Xenopus tropicalis: one gene and its partners. The protein of the gene in region 4 interacts with the protein of the main gene of each other region in a pairwise test. Links are inferred from orthologs where the notes say so. Each region holds a gene or a part of one and is shown on either strand. Other genes may lie near its edges.

Region 1 (3,500 bases), about 20 Mb from region 4:
GTGGATCAGAATGTTCAGAGGCATCTCCCAAATTCTTTTTTCATTGGGAAAGCAAGGGGTGTCTGTTTCTATGTGGGTCAGCCCAGGCTATGCTATAAATGTGGGTCCAACAGGCATTATGCTGTAAAGTGTAACATACAGAAACGTGCTTTGTGTGGGGAGACTGGGCACCCAAGCAAGGAGTGTGTAAAGGCAATAAAGTGCAACCTGTGTATGCAATCCGGCCATGCTTATAGAGCCTGCCCCGACGAAAGTGTGATGGAGAGTCAGGGGGCAGGTGTGCGAATACAGGTTAAAAGGTCTGCTGGGAAAACTTTGGACAAGTCTCAAAATAAGAAACAAAGATGCCTCCTGATATGTGTTTTATAACCATCTGTAAGAAATAAGATGCTTTGGAGGGAGGTACGCTTTGTTTTTTTTTGATGCAATATTGATTTATATGTATTTTTTGCTTGATTGAAATGTAATTATATTTTTATTGTATTTGTTTAATATATTTTAATAAAATTCTCTCCCTGCTATCCCACAGCCACAGTCGCTTCCCAGAGGCTATTATCCCACTGCTACTATAGGCACCATCTCTCCCTACTATACCTCCTATCCCACAGCCCCTTCCCAGGGGCTATTATCCCACTGCTACTATAGGCACCATCTCTCCCTACTATACCTGCTATCCCACAGTCCCTTCCCAGAGGCTATTATCCCCCCACTGCTACTATAGGCACCATCTCTCCCTACTATACCTGCTATCCCACAGCCATAGTCCCTTCCCAGAGGCTATTATCCCCCCACTGCTGCTATAGGCACCATCTCTCCCAACTATACCTGCTATCCCACAGCCACAGTCCTTTCCCAGAGGCTATTATCCCCCCCCCAACTGCTACTATAGGCACCATCTCTCCCTACTATACCTGCACATTCAAGTTTATATTGTGTGAAACTTGTGATCTCACACATTTAGTTAGTAATTTTGCTGTGTGGGGCCCATGGCGCGGAAACATGCTTGGACCTCCTGTAAAAACAGCTAAGTTATGTAATTTTCACAAAGGTCCTTCAGCACTTGTACTTTTTTTTTTGCATGAACTGTTAACATTTGTAGAATAGAATTAGTCTGTTCTCCTGCACCGGCAGTATTTTAATGATTAAGCCTTTTCATTTTAAACACTACAAAATACCAATGAGAATGGTTTTCACATTCCCTTTGAAGAATATGTAAGCTGGCAATCAGTTTGTTTAAACAATCCTGGTATAGTGCAGTGCCACAGGGGAGAGGAGGAGGGGGAACTATTTTTGGCATCTGCAGCTTACAATTCAGTAGATCTGATATTCTCTTTTGTATCCATTTTCTTCCCTCAGAAAAAGTTTCTCTTAAAGTGTCCTTATGTATTGTAGGCTAGCTTCCCTGCTCTTCAAAACAAAGCATGCATTTTAGTTCTAGTTTTACTTCAACCAAATAACAGTACCAAAATAGCACAAACACAGCCTATTCCTCAAATGGAAAGGAAACCATGCCACTCTGATGAACCATTTCCCAAACCTCTTTGTAATGTAACATCTCCCTTGCATTATGATGGATTCTGGGACTTAAAGTTCCTCTGATTTTCATAGTGGATGTGCACAGATTCTCAGGAAAGCAGAAGGAATGTCAGGTCCCAGAATCCATTTCTTCACAATAGAACAACTATTATAAAATGGTATTGTGATCAACAAAGTCCCACTGTTTAGATTGCACCTACCTGGATTATAAGTTGTTGGACCACCACAGTCAGTGCCTCAAACTTTTGGTTACTGCTGGTGAGGAGATTTTTCAGGTTCTCGATAACCCCTTTCTGCTGCTCACACACGGCTTTGCAGTGGGTTAGTTCAGCTGATTTAGGATCAACTGGAGGTGTCTGTGCTTGTATAACTGGACCTCTTGGGCTCGTCTTCGGCTTATTTTTTTCGACTAAAGAAAAAAAAATCAGCTTTTGAAATATACCACCTAAGTTCCCCTTTTATATAAACGTTTACTTTCGTATACAAAATTACGGTCCATGTCACATGGCCATTTTCTCCACCATTGGGGAAAAAAACCCACAAATCTGCTCCAAGTTAGCACCCTGCTCAGTACATTTGGTCAGGAACAGCATACATATTCGGGGCTAAATGTGCCAAAGTGGACAGGCAGGTGGATGCCATAAGAGTACATGCCATGCATTTCACAGGCTTTAAGGCATTGCCACATCCAGGGATTCCAGGAATTTGCTGGATTCCAGGAATTTGTTTGAGTGTTTAATAGCTTTGTCAGCAAGAATTAAACCGCCGGAATAACTTCCCATTCATCTCAATAGCAATTTCATGCACTCGCACTTAAACACTTCCAAATTTTTAAATGGCCACAATCTCAATGGTGAGGGCACTGCACACGTCCAGGAGATTGGCATTAAGATTGGAAGGGATTCTGGATATTCTGTTGCCAGACAGCAAGCTACTAAACACTCTGGCAGAACGGCTGCTCTTGTTCTTTGTTAATTTAGAGGTTCAGATTTAATTTATTTATATAGTTATCTCTTCACCAATGCACCTTAAGGGCAAAGACAGACTGATTTTTTTAAAAAAACCCATCACAACCACATGGTACAAGTCGCCATTACGGTTAGCTGTGGCGATTAGTCGCTGCATCTGGATTTTAAAAATTGTGGTGGCTATTTGCCTCATCTGTCTTTGCCTTAACTCTCACTGTAACACAGGCTACATGCATTCAAACCAGCAGTGTAGATGTTTATGAGCCATTTAGATATAAGATAGCAGGAAAAGAAAACCTCTGTTTCCAAAGCACTAAGTTATACAATATTTCATACTGTTTGCAGACAAAACTAAACATTCAATTACAAGAACAGTATTTCTTAAAGTTTTGTGTTACATAAATATATGACATGTCTTTCTTGTACAGCAGGTTACCACAGATAGATTTTGCACTAAAAATTCCACTTGATTATATTCTGTTACAAAAGGAATAGATTTGGGTTTGGTCACACTACAAACACCTCAGATATTTGCCAGCAACTTGGCATAGCAGAGCACAGTATTAAAGCTAGTAGCTGCTTAGGTTTGGGTTACATGGGCATTTCTCAGCAAGAGAATTGCACAAAAACTGCTGGGAGTGAAGGATGGAGGAAAATATTGGTATCATTGAGACCTCACTGCTGATAAAAGCTGCCATAATTTTTTTCCTTGCAGGCAATATAAACTCTTACTACAAATACAGAATATAATGCACACACCTACATATTTATACAAGGACGCTTTATCTTTGGTCAAAGCTCATCTTTATCATGAAACCGGATCAAGTCTATAGCCATGAAGGAGGCCACCCTGAAAATAAATAAAAGCTAGGAATTTCCATCTGACACACAAGGATTTTTTTTTAAATCTGCTTCAGAGACACTAATCACAAATTCATATCTATAAATTAGATATGATAATTTCTAAACTTTATAGAAATTACTAGGACTGTGGAT
Region 2 (4,027 bases), on a different chromosome or scaffold from region 4:
ATCTGTCTGTAAATTGTTTCAATTACACCAAGTGCTCCTGGCAAAAGGTACCTCAGTTACCTGGTAATGTTCATATAGAAACATGGAAGAGAGAAAGCTCAGACTCTGAGCATGATTGAGGACTCAGAGGACAAGCCATGCTGTAAGATCCACTCTCCACAAGTACAGTGCATGATTTTTACACCAAAAAAAAAAAAAAATTAAGTTCACAGCAATGGGTTCCCGGAAAAGTACTGCAGTCGGTCCCTGCTAAGTTTTTTTTCTTTCATTCTTCTGTTCTGAAACCAAATTTTAACCTGGCGGTCAGTGAGATTCAGCATTCTGGACAACTGAAGCCTCTTCTCTTTGTTAATATACACATTGAAGAAAAACTCCCTCTCCAATTCTCGGATCTGGAACTTAGAGTAGGGACACCTCTTCTTTCTTGTACGAGGAGCACCTTGAAATGATAAAAACAGAGCTTAAATTCTAAAACTGCATTACGTTTCGGCTTCCTGATACATGCCCTGTGTATTTATTATCTGGCTAAGATTCTGAAGGGCATATAGTACCTACTAAAATGTACAGAAGCAGATGTTTTGAGGCATAATGTATGCCTCTCATTGAAAATCTGTGTAATTAAATATAGTCAAAAACCTTGTATTTTACTCCATTCACTCGCACGACAGTGTATGACAATATCAGTGAATATTGAGCATGTCAGTAGTCTAGCTATCCATCTCTTTGTCTACTATCTGTCTGTCTAAATCTCATTTTGTCTTTATACTATACTCAAATATATCCAAATGCACAATAGCATTTGGATATTTATGGACATCCCTCTTTCATTGGGCACAGTTTCACCCCTATGAGGCTTTAATTTTGCAAATATACACAAGGAGTGAGTGCATTTGCCTTTATCCCTATGCAGAAATTGCATCACAACACGTGTGTAAGCCTCCATGTACTTTACTGCAAGCACAGAATATATTAAGGACCAAACAGGGCAAAATCCGTAAAGGGGTAAAAAAATTGTTTTTAAGATCATGCAGACCAATAGAGGCAAATAACATTGTGTTTGCATCGTGCATAAATATTGGCTCTCGAAAGAAATGAATGAAATCACAAGATAAACATGTTTTGATGAAGAATACAAGAGTACAAATGACATTCACAATGCGGGTATGTTTGTTTCCCTTGCCAATTTAAACACATGCAATTACACACACCACATATAAACATACACACGTATATATATATATATATATATATATTTCCCAGTGTGTTTTAAAAGCCTATTAAACCCCGAATAAAAATGATCTGCATGACTTTGTTTTGAAAGAAAAAGCAAGAAGCAGCACATTAAATTGCATGAACAAGAAGCCAAGGTTATGTTCTATCCAAGTGCCTTTCACTTCCACAGCCCAGAAGCAAAAACCCCGTTAAAATGCCCCTAGAAGTTCATGATCAAAGTGAATATTTGCCATGGGGGCTGCCATCTGCAACCCCCTCCCCCTAAAAAAGAAAGAAAGAAAGAAGAGCAAGGATTTGAATGAAATCTCCTTGTTTGTTTGTGACTCCACTGACTCTCAGTGCTTCCCTCTTCTCCTCCAAAGAGCTTTCCCATCGTAAAACGTCTCTCGTTGGAATAAAGAGCTTTTGTAGGTTTAATAAAATCCTTTGAATGCTTATAAAACTCCACATAAAACGTGACCGACAAAACACCGCACTAGCCCCCTAACCTCCCCCATGCACTGCTGCTGCCTGGGATACTGGGCAAAGCTCTATACCTACTGGAATTGCTGCTCTTGCTCCCTTCCTTATTGGTGACAGAAGAGGATGAGGCTGACGAGCCCGGGTTTGTATTTTCCTCTTCGTCTTCCGGGTCTAGTCCCTGCTCAGCTCCGGATGACAGAGCGCTGGTTTGGGGGTCACTGTCCATCTTGGCATCGCTCTTGGGCACACAGTCCTCTCCCTGGCTCTCTGTCCCACAGTAAGCATTGTCAAAGAAGCGATCAAATCCTTGGGGCAGCACACTGTTTTTGCTCATACTGGAGTAGAAGCCCGTTGAGGGGTGGTTGGAGGTGGGATGGTGGTGATGGTGGTGGTGGTGGTGATGGCTGTACACGCTTTCGTTTTTCATTAGCATTTCGGTCATGCTAGAAGAAGGAGGGAGGCACTCTCTGTGCATCAGATCCTCAGCTGCAGGGTAGCAGGAGGCGTAGTTGCTCCTAGGGTGCCATTTACTGGAGGGGTCTAGCCCATAGGATACCTCCCGCACTGGCTGGGAAAGGTTGGTGGAATAAGGGTAGGAGATCTGCCGAGAAGGGGCCTGGGGCAGGAAAGAGGAGACAGTAGAGAATTCAGGGACATAGTAGGTGCAGCTGGGGAGGTACAGGTTGGAAGCGCAGCCTGTCCGGTCTCCAAATTCAGCACTCCTCTCTTTGCGCGATTGCGAACAAAAGTTGCTCAGGTTAACCGAGTTAAACATCTTTCTCCCTTTCTGGCTCTATAGATAGATGTTTTGGAGGCGATCTGCAGAGGGGGAAAAATTTGGGATGGCTGGATGACGCGCTGTCCGTCTTAGTCTCTCCCCAGGAACACGTGATGCCCCAGTAGATATTGCCATATATCAGTCCGGAGCACTTAGATGCGTAGGAGGGTTCACTTAGGTAAGATCTGAGAGAGGTTCAAAAACGATTGGTTTTCAAACACCGCAGAAACATTATGAAAATCAATTGCAGATTTGTATTCATTTTTTTCTCTCTTTTAGGCACTCCCCTTGTGAGCATTGAGAAGAAAAAGCAGTGTAAGGATCATTTCAAGGGGTGGCTGGGAGGGAGTAAGGGGGTGGGGGGGGGCTTTTGAAGTTTGCAATTTGGTCTCTGCTTTCTAGATTTCACCCCCCCTGTCAGGGGGATTTGCACTCACTAGAAATAAGTTGACTCTCATTTTCCCACCTAATGCGTCAACTTTGAGGGGCACACACTGCAAATCTTTACTGGAGAGATCAAATACAATTGCTAGGGGCAATGCAGGTTTTGGGGTCACTAAGTCTTCAAACATTTGTAAAATCCAGCTTAAGTATAGAGCCATTACATCTGTGTACTATTCATGCTACGTACAGGGGGACATTCTTAGAAAGAAAGTAATTAACAGACTCCTTGCAATAACTAATTGCCTTCTTGTAGATATTTTTTATGTCAGCCCTGAAATAAATCAAGTTCAACGCCGTGGAGGTATGGACCTTAAGATAAGCCAGGCTTAACATGACAAAATCAAGGCTTCAGACTTCAGAAGGCACCTAAGATGAAACTAGATCTGCTTCTCTTATTTCTATTACCCATATTTTTATAATCACAGCAAGAGAACAACCAAGGGTCCCGGAAAACTATTTTACATGAGAAATGTTAAAAATCTCACATCAAGTATAAGTCGGGAATGGGAATGTAAATATATTTCCACCGTTGCACTTATTCATTTTGGCATGGAATCCTGCTTAGCAGAATTATTTTATTCCATCAATTGTATATGATTCTTGTTCAACGTCCGCACTGGAACTCTGTACTTATAATGCTTTACAATATGCATGGCTCCTATGTATAAGGTACCTGGTAATCCGTAAAAATGCAGTTTGGAGTAATGTTCTGTTCTAATTTACATTGTCCTGTGGCACTTTCATATTAGGACCCTTTGATCCATACACGAACTCATAACGGACCATCTTCTTTGTTTCCATAGTCCATTTAGTGAAATAAAGAACATTTCCGCCATATACTTTGCTACGGTATACAATTCTCAGTTACCAACTACGATCGCCTGATTAGCACTATATGTGTCTAGGTGACAGATAGATAGATGATAGATAGATAGATAGATAGATAGATAGATAGATAGATAGATAGATAGATAGATAGATAGATACAGACACTCACATACCATATAGATGCGCTGGAGAGTAAGCCACACAGGCCCAAATTCTATAAAGACAGTAAGCACAAATGGACTTTTTATCACAAAACAATCATTATTGGGGTGCCCAGTGCAA
Region 3 (3,500 bases), on a different chromosome or scaffold from region 4:
ATTCAAGCCGCCTCCGTGGACGCCTTCCTTGCCCATTGCAAAAACCAAGACTGAAAAAGAAAAAAAGAAAAAGATACAATGAGATTGTGCTCAGCAATCAGAATGTTGTATATTATACACATAAATATATTATATTTAATTATATATATATATATATATACATATATATTTGTCCTGTGATTCGGTCAAGATTTGTTTTTTTTTTTGTTTTGTTTTGTTTTTTAGGTGGATGGGGCTGAATCCACATGCCTGGCCAACGTGCCATACAGAGTAGCTGGCTTTTAAAGCTTTGGTGAGGGTCCTTCAGGGCATGGGATATCCCAGTGTGTGCTGATTTGGATAATGTCCAGGAAAGGAAAATAACGTACAATTTGCCCTTTTCTTTACAAGTGAAACAACATAGTTACACATGTAAACATCCCATGGTGCTTTGTGTTTAAGATTCCAGCTAAACTAAAAAACTGTCATGTATGAAAATAGTCTGCACATTTACAGTCCCCCGCCAAAACCACCTGCCTCATATGGGTACTAGCGCTCAGTGTGCCCATTCCCTTGTACATTGAATTGCTCATTATACTGAACAGGAATTTGTTTTGATGATCAAACTGCTCCATCTTGATTGGAAATAAAGGGCAACTGAACTTTGTAGGCCACATCCTAAACTCACTGCAGGAGATATTTTGCACCAACTTGCAGTTTTAAGGGACTGTATATCCCCTTGTACAACATGCGTTCAATCAATAGGGGTTGTGCCAAACCTACTTTGTGCATTGTCACAGACAATCCCTGCAGAATAAATGGGAACAGAGAACTATGGAGATCCTTTCTGATGAAGAGGTGGTTTACCCCTCTACTTAAATATGCCCCCCAAAACTTAGGCAGCATGTAAAGCCACAACACAAATATTTTAGCATGCAACCCCACAGAGCCTTTTCCCAGTTACATAAATCTAGCAAATACTAAAAACTGCTCCTCATGTTGGCTGTGCTGTAGCCTTAACCATGCTGGGCAAGTCTCCCAGCCACAAACAGCCATCTGGTGTAATACATGTACATATTTATAGAAATAAGGATATTTAGATATTGCCTGGATGCAGGTATTCCTCTTGGCTATAATTACAGATGGGATAGCAGGTCTTCTTGTTATAGGGGACCTGTCCCCATAAGAAATAATTCCAAATCCTTTTTTATCATGTTAGTCGAGCAAAATAAAGTTTACTTACGTTATATAAATTATTTATTAAATGTTGTTCCCTTTAGTCATGGAATTCAAAATAACAGCAAGCAGGCTGTGCCATTTTGTGTACACTATTATCAAGGCAATCTTGTTTATGCACCATAATAGGGAACCTGATGCACAGGATGAGAAGTGCAGTAACTTCTTGTTGTTTGAAAAATATAAAATAACATTGAGGCCTTTATACTCAAAGAGGTCCAGTCCAACCTCCAACAAAATCCTTTCTGCAAACCCAGGCTTAGCAACACAGAATCAAATATACACACACACTAAGGCACCACAAGACCTTACCTCTTACGGCTTTTCCTACAGCAATATTGTATGTTGGTTCTCCTCCTTGACTCTTTGTTCTGATGTCCATTGTGAAATCGTTATCAATATAGAGGCTGTCTCTTATAACAGAGCATTTCTTTCCTCCCACAGTTAGGCCACCAGTAAAGAATCCTTCTCTGTCCTTCCCTATGAGCACATCAATTTCTGCAGGCTGCCGGAACAAAGTACAAAGCCATTTGTTTGTTATTGACGATTGCATCAATTTTCTACAAATTCTATAAGTTACTATAATAAATACACGTAATTGTTTAGATTCTGTCAATGGGACATATACTTCCTTGACACAACCATAAAAATATTGGGAATGTGTAACCCAAGCACCCCCTGCTGTACTGTCAGGGCATGGCCACAATGACCAACAGAACTGAGCAGAGAGGCCTTTAGTGTCTAAAGCAGAAGGGGGCACTTGGGCTAAACATAAAGGGAGCATAAAGCATAACTCAAAACCCCTTTAGACTTGAATGAATAATATATGGTCCCAGTTTCAGTTTCTACACTAAAAATTATCTTTAAAAACAACCACATTATTGAAGCTGCCCATAGATTCTCTTTGGTCCGTGCGTTTCAAATGAGTAGTGGATATGTCCTAACAATCCTTGGCAAAAGGGCAATCATGCATTTCACCCAGGCAAAGGCAGGAATTCTGGGGGGGGGGGGGGAAGCACTGCACTGTGGGAAAAAACATGGCGATTGCACTCAAAGTTTTACTTTGCTCACTGCACATTTCCACATGTGCAGGATGAAAAACATTCAAATATAACCCTAAGCTTGAACAAAGCACCCTCTTGCTAAAAAATACCAACAAATTTAACATCAGCAAATGCATAATAAAGGTTACACTGTTCTCCCCATAACACTGAAGAAAAAAAACAAAAAATATAACCTTGGAGCTGCCAGAAGCCATTTGTAATTTATACAACATTGCTCGTGTGTTATAGCTCCCACAGCCAAAGGACCCATTACTGGGCCGTAACTGGGCTGCAAGTGGAACTTAAGCTGGCCATACACGCACCGATAATATTGTGTGAAACCTCGTTTGTACGATATTTGGTGCGTGTATGGCAACTCGACGAGGCGACCGATATCACAGAAGGCTGTGACTCGCCGATCGGGCGCCATTGAAGGCGCCTGAGCAAAATTTGCCTTCAGGGCTTAATCGGCAGAAGGAGGTAGAAATCCTATTGTTTTTACCTCCATATCAGACGATTCAGCCCTGAATGTCAGTGGAGGGTTGGAACAATCTTTAATGCGACCGATGGTCGCACGAAAGATCGAAAATCGCCACGTGTGTGGTTCTCTTTCATTGCAATCTGAGCCAGGATGTTACACTCTGCTCTTTGTTCAGTGGAAACGTTTACTTTAAAATTAACTGAAGATGGGGTAAATATATATACAAGGAGAAAAAAAAATGTTTTTCTTCATAGATTCTTGTACTGCTTTTCCCCACACTGTAAAATACTGCCTGGTTAAGTTGCAGACTGAGACAGATTGTTAAACTTCATTTGTATTGTTATGATTTATACATCTGTATTACTTCTATTTAGGCCAATGCCAGACGGTGCTGCAGATAAACTCAGGCCAAGAATCAGCCCCTACGCTGGCATCAGCCTTTCCCTGTGCCTGCACTCTGAGCCACTACATCAGCTGGGGTGCAGGCACACTGAGTGGATTTCAGTCAGAACATGCGAGTATGCAATTCTGAGCCAAAATCCACTCCGTGCCCCTGCAACTCAGCTGATGCGATGATTTTGGGTGCAGGCAGAGAAACAAGTGGATACCAGAATCAGTGACCCTAGCAACGTTATAACAAACTGCCACTCTCTACAACATCCTATCCATTGGCACACTATGTAAGGCTAATGACAGACGGAGCTGACTCGGGCCTGTGGATAAAGCAGGCAGAGGATCGGCCCCTACACTGGCATCAGCCT
Region 4 (3,500 bases):
TGACCCCGGCAGCCCAAAACCATTGCTCTGTGAGGCTCCAGTTTTATTGTTACTTTGTATCACTTATCTTTCTATTCAGTCCCTCTCCTTTTTATATTCCGGGTTCTCACTCAAAACACTGCCTGGTTACTAAGGTAATTTGGACCCTAGCAACCAGATAGCTGTTAAAATTACAAAATGAAGTTGCTGAACAAAAAAGTGCAATAATTAAAAAAACACAAGTAATAAAAAATTAAAACCTCTCTCTACATCATACTAAAAGTTAACTCAAAGGTGAACAATCCCTTTAATGAATAATAAAGGGACAGACTGCTGAATCAGAATCATTCAATATGATTAAAATATGATTCCTTCTGTTTAGGATTCTCCAAGGTGAGTGAAGCAGAAGCGGTGACTGGGAGTGAAGCTCATGGTTTCCATTCCCAAATGTATTCTGAGTGTAAAGTCTACTCTGCCATATACACAAATATACACAGGAGCAATGACTGCTGGGAGATTGTCAGTAGTTCTGCTCACATGTACCTTGTAAACAACCGTCGCCATGAACTGTGGGTAGGGCTGCTGGTTGGATAAAAACTCCCCGATGACCTTGTTCATCACGTCTTGTGGGGGGAAGAAATCATCTAAAAACTGTGGAAGGATCCTCGCTACCACCCGGGCTTCAAAGGGGAATCCTTTCCTTATCCTGTAATGAGCAGAGACAGAGAGAGACAGGTGAGAGAGTGCAGCGCAGCTCTCCTCAGTGACAGCAGATTAATGAACCACGGGTGATAGACATTCTATACCTCTCCCTCTGCTCCAACTGGGATCAGCACAGTAATCAGAGTTACAATTCAATTACATCTCATGCAATTCCACTGAGGGAGAGAGCAGAGTTCAGTCTCAGTTCTCTGTACTAGTTACATGCACTGGGAGAGATGGAGGCAGGCACCCCGAGAGAGGTGTGGGCATGAGCCCTGGGAGAGATGGAGGCAGGCGCCCTGGGAGAGGTGTGGGCATGAGCCCTGGGAAAGATGGAGGCAGGGGCCCTGGGAGAGATGGAGGCAGGCGTCCTGGGAGAGATGGAGGCAGGGGCCCTGGGAGAGATGGAGGCAGGCGTCCTGGGAGAGATGGAGGCAGGGGCCCTGGGAGAGATGGAGGCAGGCGTCCTGGGAGAGATGGAGGCAGGGGCCCTGGGAGAGATGGAGGCAGGGGCCCTGGGAGAGATGGAGGCAGGCGTCCTGGGAGAGATGGAGGCAAGGGCCCTGGGAGAGATATAGGTAGGTCGTGGGAGAGATGGAGGCAGGGGCCCTGGGAGAGATGGAGGCAAGGGCCCTGGGAGAGATATAGGTAGGTCGTGGGAGAGATGGAGGCAGGGGCCCTGGGAGAGATGGAGGCAAGGGCCCTGGGAGAGATATAGGTAGGTCGTGGGAGAGATGGAGGCAGGGGCCCTGGGAGAGATGGAGGCAGGGACTCAGAAGCCAGTTAACCTGCCGGTATGTTTTTGAATTATAAGAGGAAACCCACAGAAGGACAATTACCCAGAGAAAACCCACAATGGGTGGCACAGTAGTGCCCGCATTCCCGGCTCAGGCTGGGGGACTTTTTTTTTTTTTAAAAACTAAATAAATACATTTTTCTTTTTTTTCTCTATAGGAACAGAGGGAGTGTGCAGAAAGGTAAAACAACATGGCTTTGCTCCTTTATTACCTGTCAAACAGCACAGAGACTCTCTCCATGGCTACAATGACAGACTCGCTGTCTGGAGCTGCAGGACTGGGCTCTGTGGCGCGGCCTGGGCTGATTTTCTCTTTTCCTGCAGAGACAAAAGTAACTCCCTACTGTTATCATCACATTTCAGTTTGGCTTTTATCAGCGCTTAATGAATAAGGCATAGGTCCCAATTATAATAAAGCTTTGTGGGGGGTGAATGAGCAGAAAGAGCAAGTATGTACCATGTATCCGTTCCCTTGGAATAGCAGTGATACAGGAATGATCTCTATATCAGGCCTGGACTGGCAATCTGTGAGTTCTGGCAAATGCCAGAGGGGCTGCTGTAAGATGCCACAGACACTCACTATTTATTGGGCTGCTGGGGGGCATTTGGGCCTCTGGGTACTTGGAATGCCAGGGACTATTTTGAATCCCAGACCTGCTCTATACAGAAAGAAGCACAGGTAGGCAGGGTTCTAAAGTTAAGCCAGTTGCACGGATACTGTGCTTAATACAGTTGGTATGGGAAGCCACTGGCTAATATATATATATATGCATTGCTCTGTAGGCATGCACAACAAATGTAAATGTGCTTTACTTTGTTTATTCCAAATATCCTCTCACGCTACCGATTCTAGGAATTTATCCAGGAACGGACTACGCTTGTGCACTCTGCTCTTCTAAATCAGCACATTTATTCTGTATATCCTTCCCTACACATACACAGACACACACCCAATCACAACACACATGCTCTGCCTAAAGACATACGCGGTCAGAGCCAACCCCCACCTGTGTACATGCAGGTGAGCATCAGTCCTAGTGCCGTCATTGCCCGGTGAGGGCTGTGCATATTCACTCTGTCCACACTCAGTTTCACTAGCGCTTCCCCATCCAGCCGGGACAGCTGCTCCGACAGTAGGAGGCGCTCCAATCCTCGCATGACACAGTGGTACACCATGGAGGGCGTAGACTCTTCACTCCCAGAGACCATCACGCCGCACATCTGGGCAAAGCAAGACATGAAAAAAATTATCTACTGCTCTACTGGATTGGCACAAAAGGGAGGATTATTTGCTGATCGGCACACATATACAGGGTATGTTCCAGGCAAGGCTGCCATTGCTAACATATGGATGTGACCATTGGTGCCGACCAGAACCTGAAAGTAGCGAGAAGCCAATTAATAAATGGAGGAATACAAAGTAAAGCTGCTTAGAGTAAAAGTGATTAGAATCTGGAATCCTGCCCTTCATATGATGGAAGTCAGGCACAAAGGGTTTGTAAGTAGGTTAGAATGAATTGCATTTATAATTGGATTTTGAAAACGGATCTGCATTACATTCACCTGCATCTTTGCCTGACCTCTAATGAAGCGAAATAGATAGAGAATTTTTAATAATCAAACGATGTTTAATCCTATCTGTAGTGCACTGATGGGCTTCTGCAATGGGAGCACAGGCCCCCCTCCTGTTAGAGGAAAGGGACAAACCAGTATGAGCCAAGTCTGAAGAGACAACGCAGGTATGGGGAGATGGAACCAATCTGCCATGCTATTTAAGGTCAAATGGAAATGATGTCATCAGTTAACCCTTTATGTCCTTGAAGGAGTTGTTTTAATTAACTTTTAGTATAACAGACGGATATTCTGAGATAATTTGCAATTGGTCTTCATTTTTTGTGGTATTTCGGTTATTTAACCTTCTGTTCAGAAGCTCTTTACTTTGATATTGCGGCACCTATATGGTTGCTAGGGTTCTATCCTAGCAACCAGGCAGTGGTTTGAATGAGAGACTGTAATATGAATA
Region 5 (3,986 bases), on a different chromosome or scaffold from region 4:
AGGGCAAGTGTTATAAAGGAAACCACTGGCAATACTGTATGGCTTTGACCATTAAGTTGGAAAAAATACATCATTCATGGACTGTCCAGTCTACTATTCTGCTGCTGTTTAAATACAATCAATCTTGTGTAAACAGAAAGGTGGAAGTTGCAGTTCATCTTCAGCTGGAGTGCACAAGGTTTCACATCCCTGACAGATACACTAAAAATATCTCATAAACGTTTACACAATACACTTTGTCCATTCTGCTTTTATCTCTTATCTGCCCAGACGTGCCCTGTGACTTTGGAGGGGGCAGGGCAAATGTACCCTCTCCTCTAAGCTTTGGTTTAATATTGAGCTCTGTTGCAGCACTTCAATCGTGCAGGACTCGTGTTACAATTCCAACGAAAGAGTTAATACTTCCCCCTCCTTTCTTTGTCTCCAACTCTGCCCTCATCGGGCTCCACATTCCAAGCCTAGGAGGAAAAAAAACAGCTCCGGCCGCATTTCCTACTGAGGATCATTCCGCGTTTAAGTCCTCCAATCCGCACAATGAGCAGGAATGAATCTCATCTCCGCCCAAACTGTTCGTCGCTTCCAAAACCTGACACAAAAACTTTTTAATGCTTAATTCAGTAACACCCATGCCTGTGACAATTGCCACTATATCGCCATTAACTAACTTACGCTTCCGTACATACACAAACCATTAACAGTTGGGTGGCGAATTGCATCTTTAGGTTTACAAGAAACATTTATGCACCAGCTCTACTCGAACGTATCTGCATATTTCATGCGGAGCATATGATAGTATTACAATTGCCCTTTTAGTATTTTCCGCAGCTCTGTATACAACAACCTAGGGAGGGCATTTGCTTTGGGGAAGAACTATTTTTTATATTTCCTTCTGAATCACTCCGCCCACGCCCCGTTTATGAGACCTTTTCCTGCCGCCGAAGCCCGCGGAAGGATATTCACACGCGTATGTAATGCGACCCATATAAAACAAGGGTGTGCGGCGCCATTTTAAGCCTGTGTGTCGCGTTTCAAGCGAACGGGAGAGTAGTGCGTTTGTTCATGGCTGGGAACTGAAGGGGATCAGAAACATAAACGGGGAAAAGAAAATCAACGCTCTTGCCGCCATACCCCGTCCATCTTAAAGTGGGACACAATTCGGAACCTGCAGGGTCTGGAGGTGTGTAGGAGACGGCCAGTACCGGGCGAAACGCGGTGACGGCCGGAACCGGTGGACGTCGAGCCAACGGTAAGATACTGCAAATGTCTTTTTATTTTTTTTGTAGCTTCGGTGTCGCTATCGATTGTTACCGTACCTAGGAAGCTGCTTGGGGAGTGGTGGCATTTGTGGTTATGCAACAGCTGGGGAGCCACATGATGGAGGTTAACGTGGTCGGATCTGTTTGACTTGACTTGGCAGTGTGGTTAGTGCGTTTTTTTTATCTTTTAAGGATTGTGGGCAGGTACTGTACATGTCTGCGGTGTGGAACTTGCGGCCGCCTGGCCTCGTTGGGTAGAGCATTGTTTGGAGTTAAGGATCAGAAACAGGGCCGGAAGTTGGTTGTGTGTGTGTGCCTTTGTACTTGTCCCATAACTGTACTGCATAGTATTGTTGGTGTGTAGGGGGGTACCATACAGTCCTATTTAAGGAATCCCAATAGATACGTATCTAAACTACCCTTTCCATCTGCTTGTTGGCACCTTGTTTAAAAGCCGTCTTTGTGCGTCAGCGGGCTGGCCCTCTTTCCTTTGATTCTAGAACTTTTATAATGTGTGTTTTGGCATGGAGTGATGTGCTGAGTGCTTGCAGGTTCTACTGCTTTTGAGATGTGAGAACTAATGTGCAGGAATGGAGAATTCTATCCAGTGTATCAGATTCACGATGCGGGACATGTATAAATCCATACGTTGTTTTAGGGCAGCTTTGGGAATGTGTATATATTCCCCCTCCCTGAAACTCTCCCCTGTGTACTTAGTGTTTCAGTGATGGAGCTGTGAAATATGAGCCACTCTTGCAACTTTTTTTTTTCTATTCACTCCCTGTCTTGGCCTAGGGTGAGGCTCAGTCAAGCCAGGATATTCATCGCCCTTCCGCTTAGAATTAGTGTTTCCAGTGTTTTGTTGCAGCAGTAAGCTATAGTCATGGGCCCTACTATCCTATCGTTCCAGCTAATGTGTACAAGGTTTGGCTTCCTGTAAGAAACCTTGTACGTATTTGGGTTTAGATTTTAACTTGTGGGTGCCAAAACTTGTGATTTAATGCTAAGTTAAATGATCTATATTATAAATTAAGCAAATGTTACTGAAGTACAAACAATTGCCGCTTCCCATGGAGTAGGTAATGTGAGAGTAGCTCACTTGTGCCTTTCAGTGTGCAAATATGCAAACAAACACCCTCAAGCTGAAAAGTGTTTGTGGTGGAGCTTGGAGAAATTCAGGTTAGTGGGAGGTGGCATTAGGTGCTTTTTACTGGGATGAAATCTGCTCATGTGCTATAGTATTGGCTAACATGGCTTTAGTTGAGGTTTTGTTACATATCAAGGCTAGTCTCCAGGACATGGATTTTTCTTTCCCCCAACTCCATCTCCACCCTCTCCTGTCCTGAAAGTATGCAGGGTAGTGAATAGATTAGACTAGTCAGGAATGTGATCTTAAGAGAAAATGTGGTGCAGAAATTCCAGGCACTTAACACATTTCTAGCTGTTTTGTGCTGGGGCACGGCTCTTATTTGACAACTAACTAGACTAAATATCAACTTTAATACAGCTATGGCTTCCGATAAAAGCCACCTTCTCATGTTAAGCTATGGCAGTGTTTTGATTGTTTCTCAGTTGCAGCAGTCTGCGCACAAGTGGTGGTTTTGTTCCACCAGCTGCAGTAGGAAGGAAGGGCCTGCTGGCAATTCATGCATTGGGGCATTTGTGGCTTCCTCTCCAGTTAACAGTACAAATGTTTAGTGCAAGTATTGTAGCCGATGTGGTAGGGCAAATATTTGTAACTAGCCCGTTTTGGCACTAATGCAACTGCATGTTCAGAATGGTAGAGGATTTGTTTCCTTAAACAGTTCAGTAGGTGGGCAGTGTGCACTTTGCTCCCTCACCTGCCTTTGACATGGGAAGTATGTTTCCTTGATCTTGCAACTATCTTGAAAACATGCTGTTGCCCATTGGGAAATGGCCAATTGGACATGGGGGGGTCTTTCTGTTCACTGCTGCAAGAATCAAAGGTCCTAGTCGGTGACCTGTGTGCATTTCGGGTCGTAAGTCTACTTCCCCAGACAGTATCTCATGGAATTAGTATGTTCTTAATGTGTAGCATTTTTTTCTTAAGTTTCTTCTATGCTCCCAAGACAGGAAGGTTAATTGGCTCCTCCCCAGAGTGGGTGTATGGTAGGAACCATAGATCATGCTTCATTGGGGCAGGGAATGTTACTGTATAAGCTCTCTAGATTGCCATAGAACATGTTGGCTCTATATAAAGCATAATAGTGGTTTGTAGCTGCTAACTGGCAAAGACAGACACTTCATTGTTAACTGTGCGAGCAGCACTATCTGGTGTTAATAGGCCTTATGGAACAGTGCTTGCCTTTGCAGTGTCCTGGGAAATGACCAGTACAACTAACTATACTTTCTGTGTGAGCAGCAAAGTACTTCTATAAAAGCTGCATTAGTTTCCTTGCCAGGAAGTAAAAGTGCAGCTACCACTAAACATCAAATTTAAATGAAGCACTGTGGCGTGTACTAGCTGCTTTAAATGTTGTCCTTTTAGTCAAACTCCTGCAAAAAACTAGCCTTTGAAGTGTTAGCATGCAAATTCAATCCATGTGTGTTTGGGAGGAGCAGGGGTCTTTGGTTTGTAGGTTTGCCTTACTGCGTCAATGGCATATTACTTTACTGTTTAAGTAGGTAACTTTGTTCCATGTAAACTTAACATTATTGAAGCGATAGATGGACTTTCCCATGGGGTTTAAGTATGCTGTCATGTGTGTA
Region 6 (4,247 bases), on a different chromosome or scaffold from region 4:
TCGGCTGACAGGTGCTGGGGCAGAGAGGCAAGCGAGAAGAGGAGCAGGGATGAGAGGACGCAGGGAGGGGAGAGGAGCGGTGAGGAACGGTGACAGCTGACAGGTGCTGGGGGGGAGAGGCAAGCGGGGAGGCTAGTGGAGCGCCATGTTTAAAACATGGCGGCGCAGACAAGGAGAAATAGTGTGTACTTCGGGAGGACCGTACTGGGCAAAGGAGCATTTTTAGAAGAAATGATTTCAGCTTTAGGTAGGGGCAGGAGCCCTCTATTACATACTAAAAAATGAGTAAAACCCTTTCCTTCTCCTTTAAGCCACATGTATGAAGATGATGCGGAAGAATCCTGCATTTTAGAACAATCTTAGCTTTCACTAAACAATCCTTTGTAGCATTAAGGAAATATAGCATTGGACCTACCTCCTTGTCTTTGAGCCCTAGGAGCAAAACTTCTTCCATAAGCGTCAAACGAATGTCCTTAGAATCGGCGGATTCTTCCTCATCTTTGTCTTTGATGTAATCTTCTGAATCCACCCTGTTTTCCTGACCCACATCTGCGCGCCGACCACGTCGAGTTAAAGTGGTCATCCTAATATGACAAGGAATAAAGCAAGCATGAAGTAAGGATGGGAGAATAAAGCATGCGTGAAGTAAAAAATGCAGGAGGCCAAAAACAAATATTTAACTAAACTGAATTTCTGAAATATCCAAAAAAGCCCAAATTTGTGTTTAAGAAAAAATCCAACTAAATATACATATCCATGTTTGAATTAAGCTCACTGGATCACCCCTTCAATTAGGCAAGCTTACATAACTGCAGCTTACCATTCTTATACAACTATGTGTGGCAAAGATATATTATACATCTCTGTAAGAGCAACAGAAAGTCTAGGGAGATTTCCCTTCTATGGAGAGATCCAAAACAGCCATTTGCTTCATGTTAGGTGTTCAAATGTTTTCTCCACCCTTTTCTACTGTTCTGGCCCCATTCCAAAGTTTGAGAATGTCTACATATATATAAAAAAAATCTTTGACCCCAATACTTTTCAAATCATAGTAATGCCACTGCAAAAGCCTGCCATTTTTTCCTTTGCAATATTGCCAAGATATGCCCCTTTCTTTCCCAAGTAACTGCTAAAAGACAAATTCATGCCCATACCCTATCCTGTATAAACTACTGCACCTTCTTACTAACAGGTCTTCCAGCCTGCCACCTCTCTCCCCTGGAATCAATCTGCTGCTAGAGTCCTCTGCTCTCTGCTAACAGGGAACCTGTTCAGACCCAGGTAAAATATATATCTTGCAGCTCCTTACCTCTGGATTTCTATCCCTGAGCTTCTCCGTAGGGAAATTTCTCTCATTCCTTTCAATAAGAAACTCAGATCCTACCTTTAGAGCACTAGCCCACTATTTAGTCTAGTCCAGTCCGTACCCTTAAGGGCCAATGCCCAAACGTTGTGCACTTCTGCCCTCCAATGTGTGCCTGTATGTTATCCGCCCACTTAGAATTTAAATTCTATGGACCTCCTCCCTACCGGGTCTCTTATCACAGGACACCTCTCAATGCAAAAGCCACCCCCCCGGGAGCAGGTGCTTTCACCCACGTGAAAGGTACCAAAATGGCTTCAGGCATTTAATAGTGATATTAAAGAACCAGGAAGTCTAGTCAGCAAACTATCAGGGCCCAAAGTGCAGTTTGGTCTTGGTTGGTATAATGTGCCCCAGGCACTGCAGACTGAGGGGGGGGGGGGAATAATATAACTCAACCTGTGCCCCTCCTGCTGTTGTGTACTGAAACATATTACAATTGTTAGACATTTATACATGATTGATACAAGGGGGGCCCCAAGAGGTACAAGGGGGGCCCTAAGAGGTACAAGGGGGGCCCCTAAGAGGTACAAGGGGGGGGGCCCTAAGAGGTACAAGGGGGGGGGCCCTAAGAGGTACAAGGGGGGGGCCCTAAGAGGTACAAGGGGGGGCCCCTAAGAGGTACAAGGGGGGGCCCCTAAGAGGTACAAGGGGGGGCCCCTAAGAGGTACAAGGGGGGGCCCCTAAGAGGTACAAGGGGGGGCCCTAAGAGATACAAGGGGGGGGCCCAGCGATACAAGGGGGGGGCCCAGCGATACAAGGGGGGGCCCTAAGAGATACAAGGGGAGGCCCTAAGAGATACAAGGGGGGCCCTAAGAGATACAAGGGGGGGCCCTAAGAGATACAAGGGGGGGGCCCTAAGAGATACAAGGGGGGGCCCTAAGAGACACAAGGGGGGGCCCTAAGAGACACAAGGGGGGGGCCCTAAGAGATACAAGGGGGGGGCCCTAAGAGATACAAGGGGGGGGCCCTAAGAGATACAAGGGGGGGGGCCCTAAGAGATACAAGGGGGGGGGCCCTAAGAGATACAAGGGGGGGGCCCTAAGAGACACAAGGGGGGGGCCCAGAGATACAAGGGCCCCCCCGAGATACAAGGGGCCCAGGGCAACCCTACACTTAGCTATTCTATGCTATTCTATTCAATGCATTATATCCAGCTTCACATATTCCCGGAAAGTTGGCAAGAAGCATCATTTTAGACAAATGACCCAGGAGGAAGTTGGGCTAGCCGTGTTAGTATTTACTCCGGGGATTGAAGCCCGAGCAAATGAGGAACCCGGGAAATAGACAGAACAAAAACTATAGATAAATATATATTAATAAAGACGCACGAAAGGGACGCAGCCCCAAACATTTCTCACCTGTTTTCCTCTCACTTGAGCCGCTGAGAAACTTCACTTCCTGAAGTCGGACACATCAGCTTTGATCAGCCCAGAGCAATCTAACCTCCCTGGCTGTCTCCTTCTGACAGGCATTATTCCTTACCAATCACGTCTTTCCCTTTGTGTCACACAGGTCACTCCGGCGCGCCTCTCCCCGCCCCCTTGCGCACGTCATGCAAGCTTGGTCAGAGGTGAGATTGTTGGTTTGACAGGCGCGCTTGACCAATGGGAATTGGCGAACGCTACAGCGTAGGCTTGGCTGATCCTCCCAGCCATCGAGATGTGATGATAGAGCGGCTTTTCGCCGTCAACCATGTTTTTATGAGGGAGGATTCCTTAGCTTCCGAAGTCGCCTGGAAGTCATGGCGGAAATGAATATAACAGTATAGCAAGAGGGTAGATAAAGCTTGTAAACAAGCAATAGTAATAGGGAACTTCTGGCATACGTCTGTGCATTATTTCCATGGTTACAGGGGATCTCTTTTTGCATAATTAATACTTTTATTAAATAATTATAATGTGTGTTGGACACTGGATCAGAAGTGTGCTCTTCTTCAGGTCCTTTAATCAGTAAGTGTTCTGTCAGCACCCCATCTAGGGTTGCCATCTGGCCGCTATTTTACCAGACTGGCCGGTATAAATGATGCTTGAGAGTAAAAAAGGCAGAAATATAGACACCTCTTCAAAAAATTATATTTTAGTCCATAATTTATTGTTAGATTTATTTGCCATTTTTCCCCACTGTACCTGTGACTAAGGACTAGAGAAGTCAGAATGTATCCAGCAATAATATATCTGCCTTTTTACATATATTTAATAGCAAACAATTAAGGCTGGACATTTAATGATACAGTGCTTGGAGGCGCAGTTTAGTTTATATATTAGCAAATAGTCTTTGTAAGAGCCGGCACTCCTTTACAGTGATCAGACTGGAAGTGAGGCTGAGGTGACTTCTGCACTGACGACGCGGCTGGAGTGATCTCCACTTGGTAGTATATAACCCTGCTAAAACTGCCCAAAATAAAAAGATTTCTGTAAAACCATTTTTGTGAAACCCAGGACTTATACTTACAAACGTATCTTTACGCACTTGTACCTGCTACCCAGTCTGACCCCTAACCCAAAGTACAACCCGCTGGCCTTAATGAAACTAGAAGCGACATAATCACAAACAGAAATAGACATCATCAGAAGATTAGCTTATATTGAGAACAGTGACGTGCAACCCATACCTGCATCAGCAAACCACAAAAACCTATGACCAAACCCGATGCGCAGGGTGCAAAGTGCAGCAAGAGCCACAACACAAGTGCTTCATCACTAAGGGTGAGATTTTGCTCTGCTAATTGCATCCATGGTCTGGGTAAATAACCATTTTAGTGTCTATAACACTATGGGTAATGTTGCAGCCTCTCTTTTGTAGCCTTTTGCACTTCAGCTAAGCAAGTCAGTTAAACCATTTGGGTTGCCATCTGTCTGTTTTTCACTTGGACAGTGGGGTT
Region 7 (3,500 bases), on a different chromosome or scaffold from region 4:
TACTGCTCTGCCATTCTTTACAAGTACATTGCTGGCAATTCAGTAGTAGGCCAGACTGGGATTCACACCAAAAATGATGCAGGTGGGGTAGAACATTACTTTCACCAGACTCCTCTTATAGTATCTTTGTGTATTGAAACCATGTAATGGGCCAAAGGTTATTGGGAGGTTTAAGTTGCCTATTAACTATAGCTGTACCTTTTGCTTTTTTTAATAGATAAGAAGAAGGAGATTGATGCTTTAGCAAGCGAATATATTGCTAAGGTGCGGGACTACACCCCTGAGCAGAGAGTACAGCACCTTCAAAAAATTCAGTCTGCCTATAGCAAATGCAAAGAGTACAGTGATGATAAAGTGCAACTGGCCATGCAGACCTACGAAATGGTGAGCAGCAGTTTAATGAATCCATAAATAACAAATGCCATGCATGACTTTAATAATGTCATTTTTGTGTGTAGAAATTATTATTTTGAAATATATTTGTCTGTCTAATAGGTCGATAAACATATACGAAGGCTGGATGCTGATCTGGCCCGCTTTGAGGCTGATCTTAAAGAAAAACTGGAAGGGTCAGAGTTTGATAGTCCTGCAGGACGTGGAGTAAAGAGTGAGTTACAAAATGTTGTGTATAAAAAATCTCGCTAATCTTTTCCTTCAACATTTAAAAATCCCTGCAAGAAGACCCACTCTTGCTCATTCCTCCTTCTCCCTTTACATGGTGCACTATGAATAGAGGTCCACAGAAATACTCACAAGTGGGAGAATACTGTGGCTTCCTAGCATATTTATTTCTTACCAGTGACAGGCACATCCAATGAACCAAGTATATTGATCCAAGTATATTGTATTCTGTTTAATGCGCCCCATAACGACAATGCATGTCTAACCAAACCTTATAAATGTGTTATTTATATTGTACATCGCCACCACCCAATACGTTCCACTCCCTGTATCAGATGCTCTGCCTGCTTGCGTGTTTGGCTGGCAGCTGCCACTTCTATGTTCTTACTGAGCCGGAGTTAATAACACTGCGTGAGCGCAGCAGCACATGCCCCTGTGTGCAATTAACTTGTGTGCCAAACTTTACCTACATGTGAAAGGACTGTCTGAAGGTCAAAAGCTAAGGATTGCCTGAAATGTTACGCGCGTCACATCGGTTCTGTGCTGATCCCTTAATGGTGCAGCGGCGCGTCCCATAATGGTGCAACGCTATGGTGCGTATGATGCCTTGCGCGTGCGTCTGCAAGCCCGTCCACGGGGGGGGGGGGGGATTGCACGCAAGGAGCGCATTGCATCTGCGAATCCATAGGCAACTACCGTATATACTTGAGTATAAGCCGAGGGTTACTTTTTAAGCACATTTTTAGTGCTCAAAAACTCGGCTTATATTCGACTATATACGGTACTCTGGAAGATAAATAGCAGTACATCAAAATTGGAGAAACAAAATTATTCATCCTAAAAAAACATAACTTTTTTGTTTTAAAGAGAATAGAGGTCAAAAAGAAAAACGAGGGTCAAGAGGACGCAGAGTATCTGAAGAGGACACTGTAAAGAAAAAGAAAATGAAAGGAGGGTGAGGAATTGTATCAGTTTGTTACTGTTCTAGTAACAGCGTAGACTATGTGAGACCTCTTATAGTTTCCAGGTTGAATGCCACATACACAATTTTTTTTTGCACCCTTATCAAGCAGCTGTGGCTTTAAACAAAACATTTACATAGTAACTTCCACGTTAATTGTCCAAAATATTACATTTTTCAAAAAGGAATAGATTGTGTAATATCAATAGGGCCACCAAACTGTCCTGAATAAGGGCTAAAAAGTGGTATCTTCAACTGCTGCTCCCTTATTTTTTAATGTGACTGCAAGAGCTGTGGATTTAATGGGTGTTTAAATGCAAGGGTACAGCTGTGTAAGTGTGTGAGTTAGGCTGCTGACCACTTTAAAGGTGAAGTACATTTAACATTTTTATGTTTTAGAATTTCCCATCCATAGCAATTGTTCAATTGCTGCTCATTTTTATATATTTTTTAAGTTTGCCTTCCCCTTGTGTGTCCAGCTCTCAAAAGGGGGTCACTGACCCCAGCAGTCAACTATTGCCCTTTGAGGCTGCAATTATAATGTTACATTTAGGCCTTCTCCTTTTCATGTTTCAGTCTCTCATTCCAGCCATTGCCTGGTTGTTACTGTAAATAGATTGGACCTTGGTAGCCAAATATCTGCTGACAAAAAGCTAAATAATTCAGAAACCATGCAAAAAATGAAGAATAAATTGTCTCAGAATACATTTATAGTTTTTTTAATCTGAAGCTGTTTAATGGGTAATTTACATGACCTAACTCGCTGGCTTGCTGATATATTTGTATTTGCCAGGCCTGTATATGCTGATTCAGTCCTGTCTGTGACCCCTTCGGATGTCTTGGATATGCCAGTGGATCCCAATGAACCCACATACTGCCTTTGCCACCAGGTGTCCTATGGGGAAATGATTGGTTGTGACAATCCAGATGTAAGTAATAAGTTCAGAATATTGTATGGATACATCAGTGTCCTTGCCTGGAAGTGTGTACTGTATGATTGGATTTAGAGAATAATTCAAATCCAAAATGCAATATTTTGTCTATATTCTTAAAAATTAGCAATAGATTGTTCAGCAGTTTCAGCTGATCTGCCTTGCTACAATCTGAGGATTTATTCTGTAGTGTCTTCACTTTTGCAATAGGATAACATTCTCAGAAATAAATTTCTACACTTATTCAAGAAAAGTGCAAGTGGAAATACAGGTTACATCAATGTTTTAGCCTCAGGTTTAAAACTATACCAGCATAACTACTAGAAACTAAGGTAAATTAATGTTTCAACTGGTTGGAATGGAAAAAGTAAACCTTTCAGAATAGGTTTCTGCTTTGTTTAATAAAGACCTAAGGGCATGAGAGTTGCTACAGCTTACTGATTTTATTGCACATTGTATTCTTTTCTCCTTTATTTTTGCGGTTTCTTAAGACAGTCTAATGATTATGTAAAGTGAATGTGTTATAGCCAAAGCTTATATTGCATGTAAAAGCAAGGCGGTTAGAAGTACAGTTCTATTATCTAGGAAATAGGGTGTATGTTTTTTTCCAAGGCACCTAAATGTGTAATTACTTCCTAAATTATTTGCCCACAGTGTCCAATTGAATGGTTCCATTTTGCCTGTGTGGATCTGACCACTAAACCTAAAGGGAAATGGTAAGTATCTATTGTATCAACTGAATTTTTGTTAAAAATAGGAATGCACTGAATCCAGAATTTTTGGATTCTGATGAATGCTAAATCCTCTGCAAAAGTGGAGGAATCTGAACTATAATTTGCATATTTTAATGGAGAAAAATAGAAAATGACACCTGTGAACAAAGTTTGTAGCCATCAATTACCAAGAGTTTTAATGTCATATTAGAATGATGATAAGGGTTTCAGTTTTGTTCTGCTGAAGCTCTGAATCCTTAACTGAATCCTGAA

What was found.
Region 1: the proteins of htt (region 4) and mtus1 interact in binary tests that used the Homo sapiens proteins (3 or more experiments, as listed by UniProt). The link is inferred for Xenopus tropicalis from reciprocal best matches to the Homo sapiens genes HTT and MTUS1.
Region 2: the proteins of htt (region 4) and hoxc11 interact in binary tests that used the Homo sapiens proteins (3 or more experiments, as listed by UniProt). The link is inferred for Xenopus tropicalis from reciprocal best matches to the Homo sapiens genes HTT and HOXC11.
Region 3: the proteins of htt (region 4) and pfn2 interact in binary tests that used the Homo sapiens proteins (3 or more experiments, as listed by UniProt). The link is inferred for Xenopus tropicalis from reciprocal best matches to the Homo sapiens genes HTT and PFN2.
Region 5: the proteins of htt (region 4) and ctnnb1 interact in binary tests that used the Homo sapiens proteins (3 or more experiments, as listed by UniProt). The link is inferred for Xenopus tropicalis from reciprocal best matches to the Homo sapiens genes HTT and CTNNB1.
Region 6: the proteins of htt (region 4) and golph3l interact in binary tests that used the Homo sapiens proteins (3 or more experiments, as listed by UniProt). The link is inferred for Xenopus tropicalis from reciprocal best matches to the Homo sapiens genes HTT and GOLPH3L.
Region 7: the proteins of htt (region 4) and ing5 interact in binary tests that used the Homo sapiens proteins (3 or more experiments, as listed by UniProt). The link is inferred for Xenopus tropicalis from reciprocal best matches to the Homo sapiens genes HTT and ING5.

Annotation. Positions count from the first base shown.
Region 1 is NC_030677.2:42,519,879-42,523,378, forward strand, and holds part of mtus1 (microtubule-associated tumor suppressor 1), read right to left. Parts: intron 1,946-3,500; coding exon 1,737-1,945; intron 1-1,736. UniProt on the Homo sapiens protein: Cooperates with AGTR2 to inhibit ERK2 activation and cell proliferation. May be required for AGTR2 cell surface expression. Together with PTPN6, induces UBE2V2 expression upon angiotensin-II stimulation.
Region 2 is NC_030678.2:146,120,995-146,125,021, forward strand, and holds the start of hoxc11 (homeobox protein Hox-C11), read right to left. Parts: upstream 2,801-4,027; 5' UTR 2,471-2,800; coding exon 1,774-2,470; coding exon of another isoform or gene 1,770-1,773; intron 440-1,769; coding exon 207-439; 3' UTR 1-206. UniProt on the Homo sapiens protein: Sequence-specific transcription factor which is part of a developmental regulatory system that provides cells with specific positional identities on the anterior-posterior axis. Binds to a promoter element of the lactase-phlorizin hydrolase gene.
Region 3 is NC_030681.2:118,629,756-118,633,255, reverse strand, and holds part of pfn2 (profilin-2), read right to left. Parts: intron 1,721-3,500; coding exon 1,528-1,720; intron 51-1,527; coding exon 1-50. UniProt on the Homo sapiens protein: Binds to actin and affects the structure of the cytoskeleton. At high concentrations, profilin prevents the polymerization of actin, whereas it enhances it at low concentrations. By binding to PIP2, it inhibits the formation of IP3 and DG.
Region 4 is NC_030677.2:22,812,396-22,815,895, reverse strand, and holds part of htt (huntingtin), read right to left. Parts: intron 2,699-3,500; coding exon 2,485-2,698; intron 1,796-2,484; coding exon 1,690-1,795; intron 686-1,689; coding exon 523-685; intron 1-522.
Region 5 is NC_030682.2:53,356,609-53,360,594, forward strand, and holds the start of ctnnb1 (catenin beta-1), read left to right. Parts: upstream 1-1,186; 5' UTR 1,187-1,246; intron 1,247-3,986. UniProt on the Homo sapiens protein: Key downstream component of the canonical Wnt signaling pathway.
Region 6 is NC_030684.2:127,040,923-127,045,169, reverse strand, and holds the start of golph3l (Golgi phosphoprotein 3-like), read right to left. Parts: upstream 2,801-4,247; 5' UTR 2,725-2,800; intron 1,445-2,724; exon of another isoform or gene 1,357-1,444; coding exon of another isoform or gene 1,310-1,356; intron 585-1,309; coding exon of another isoform or gene 584-584; coding exon 416-583; intron 1-415. UniProt on the Homo sapiens protein: Phosphatidylinositol-4-phosphate-binding protein that may antagonize the action of GOLPH3 which is required for the process of vesicle budding at the Golgi and anterograde transport to the plasma membrane.
Region 7 is NC_030681.2:125,710,127-125,713,626, reverse strand, and holds part of ing5 (inhibitor of growth protein 5), read left to right. Parts: intron 1-217; coding exon 218-384; intron 385-495; coding exon 496-607; intron 608-1,488; coding exon 1,489-1,576; intron 1,577-2,375; coding exon 2,376-2,511; intron 2,512-3,168; coding exon 3,169-3,230; intron 3,231-3,500. UniProt on the Homo sapiens protein: Component of the HBO1 complex, which specifically mediates acetylation of histone H3 at 'Lys-14' (H3K14ac) and, to a lower extent, acetylation of histone H4. Component of the MOZ/MORF complex which has a histone H3 acetyltransferase activity.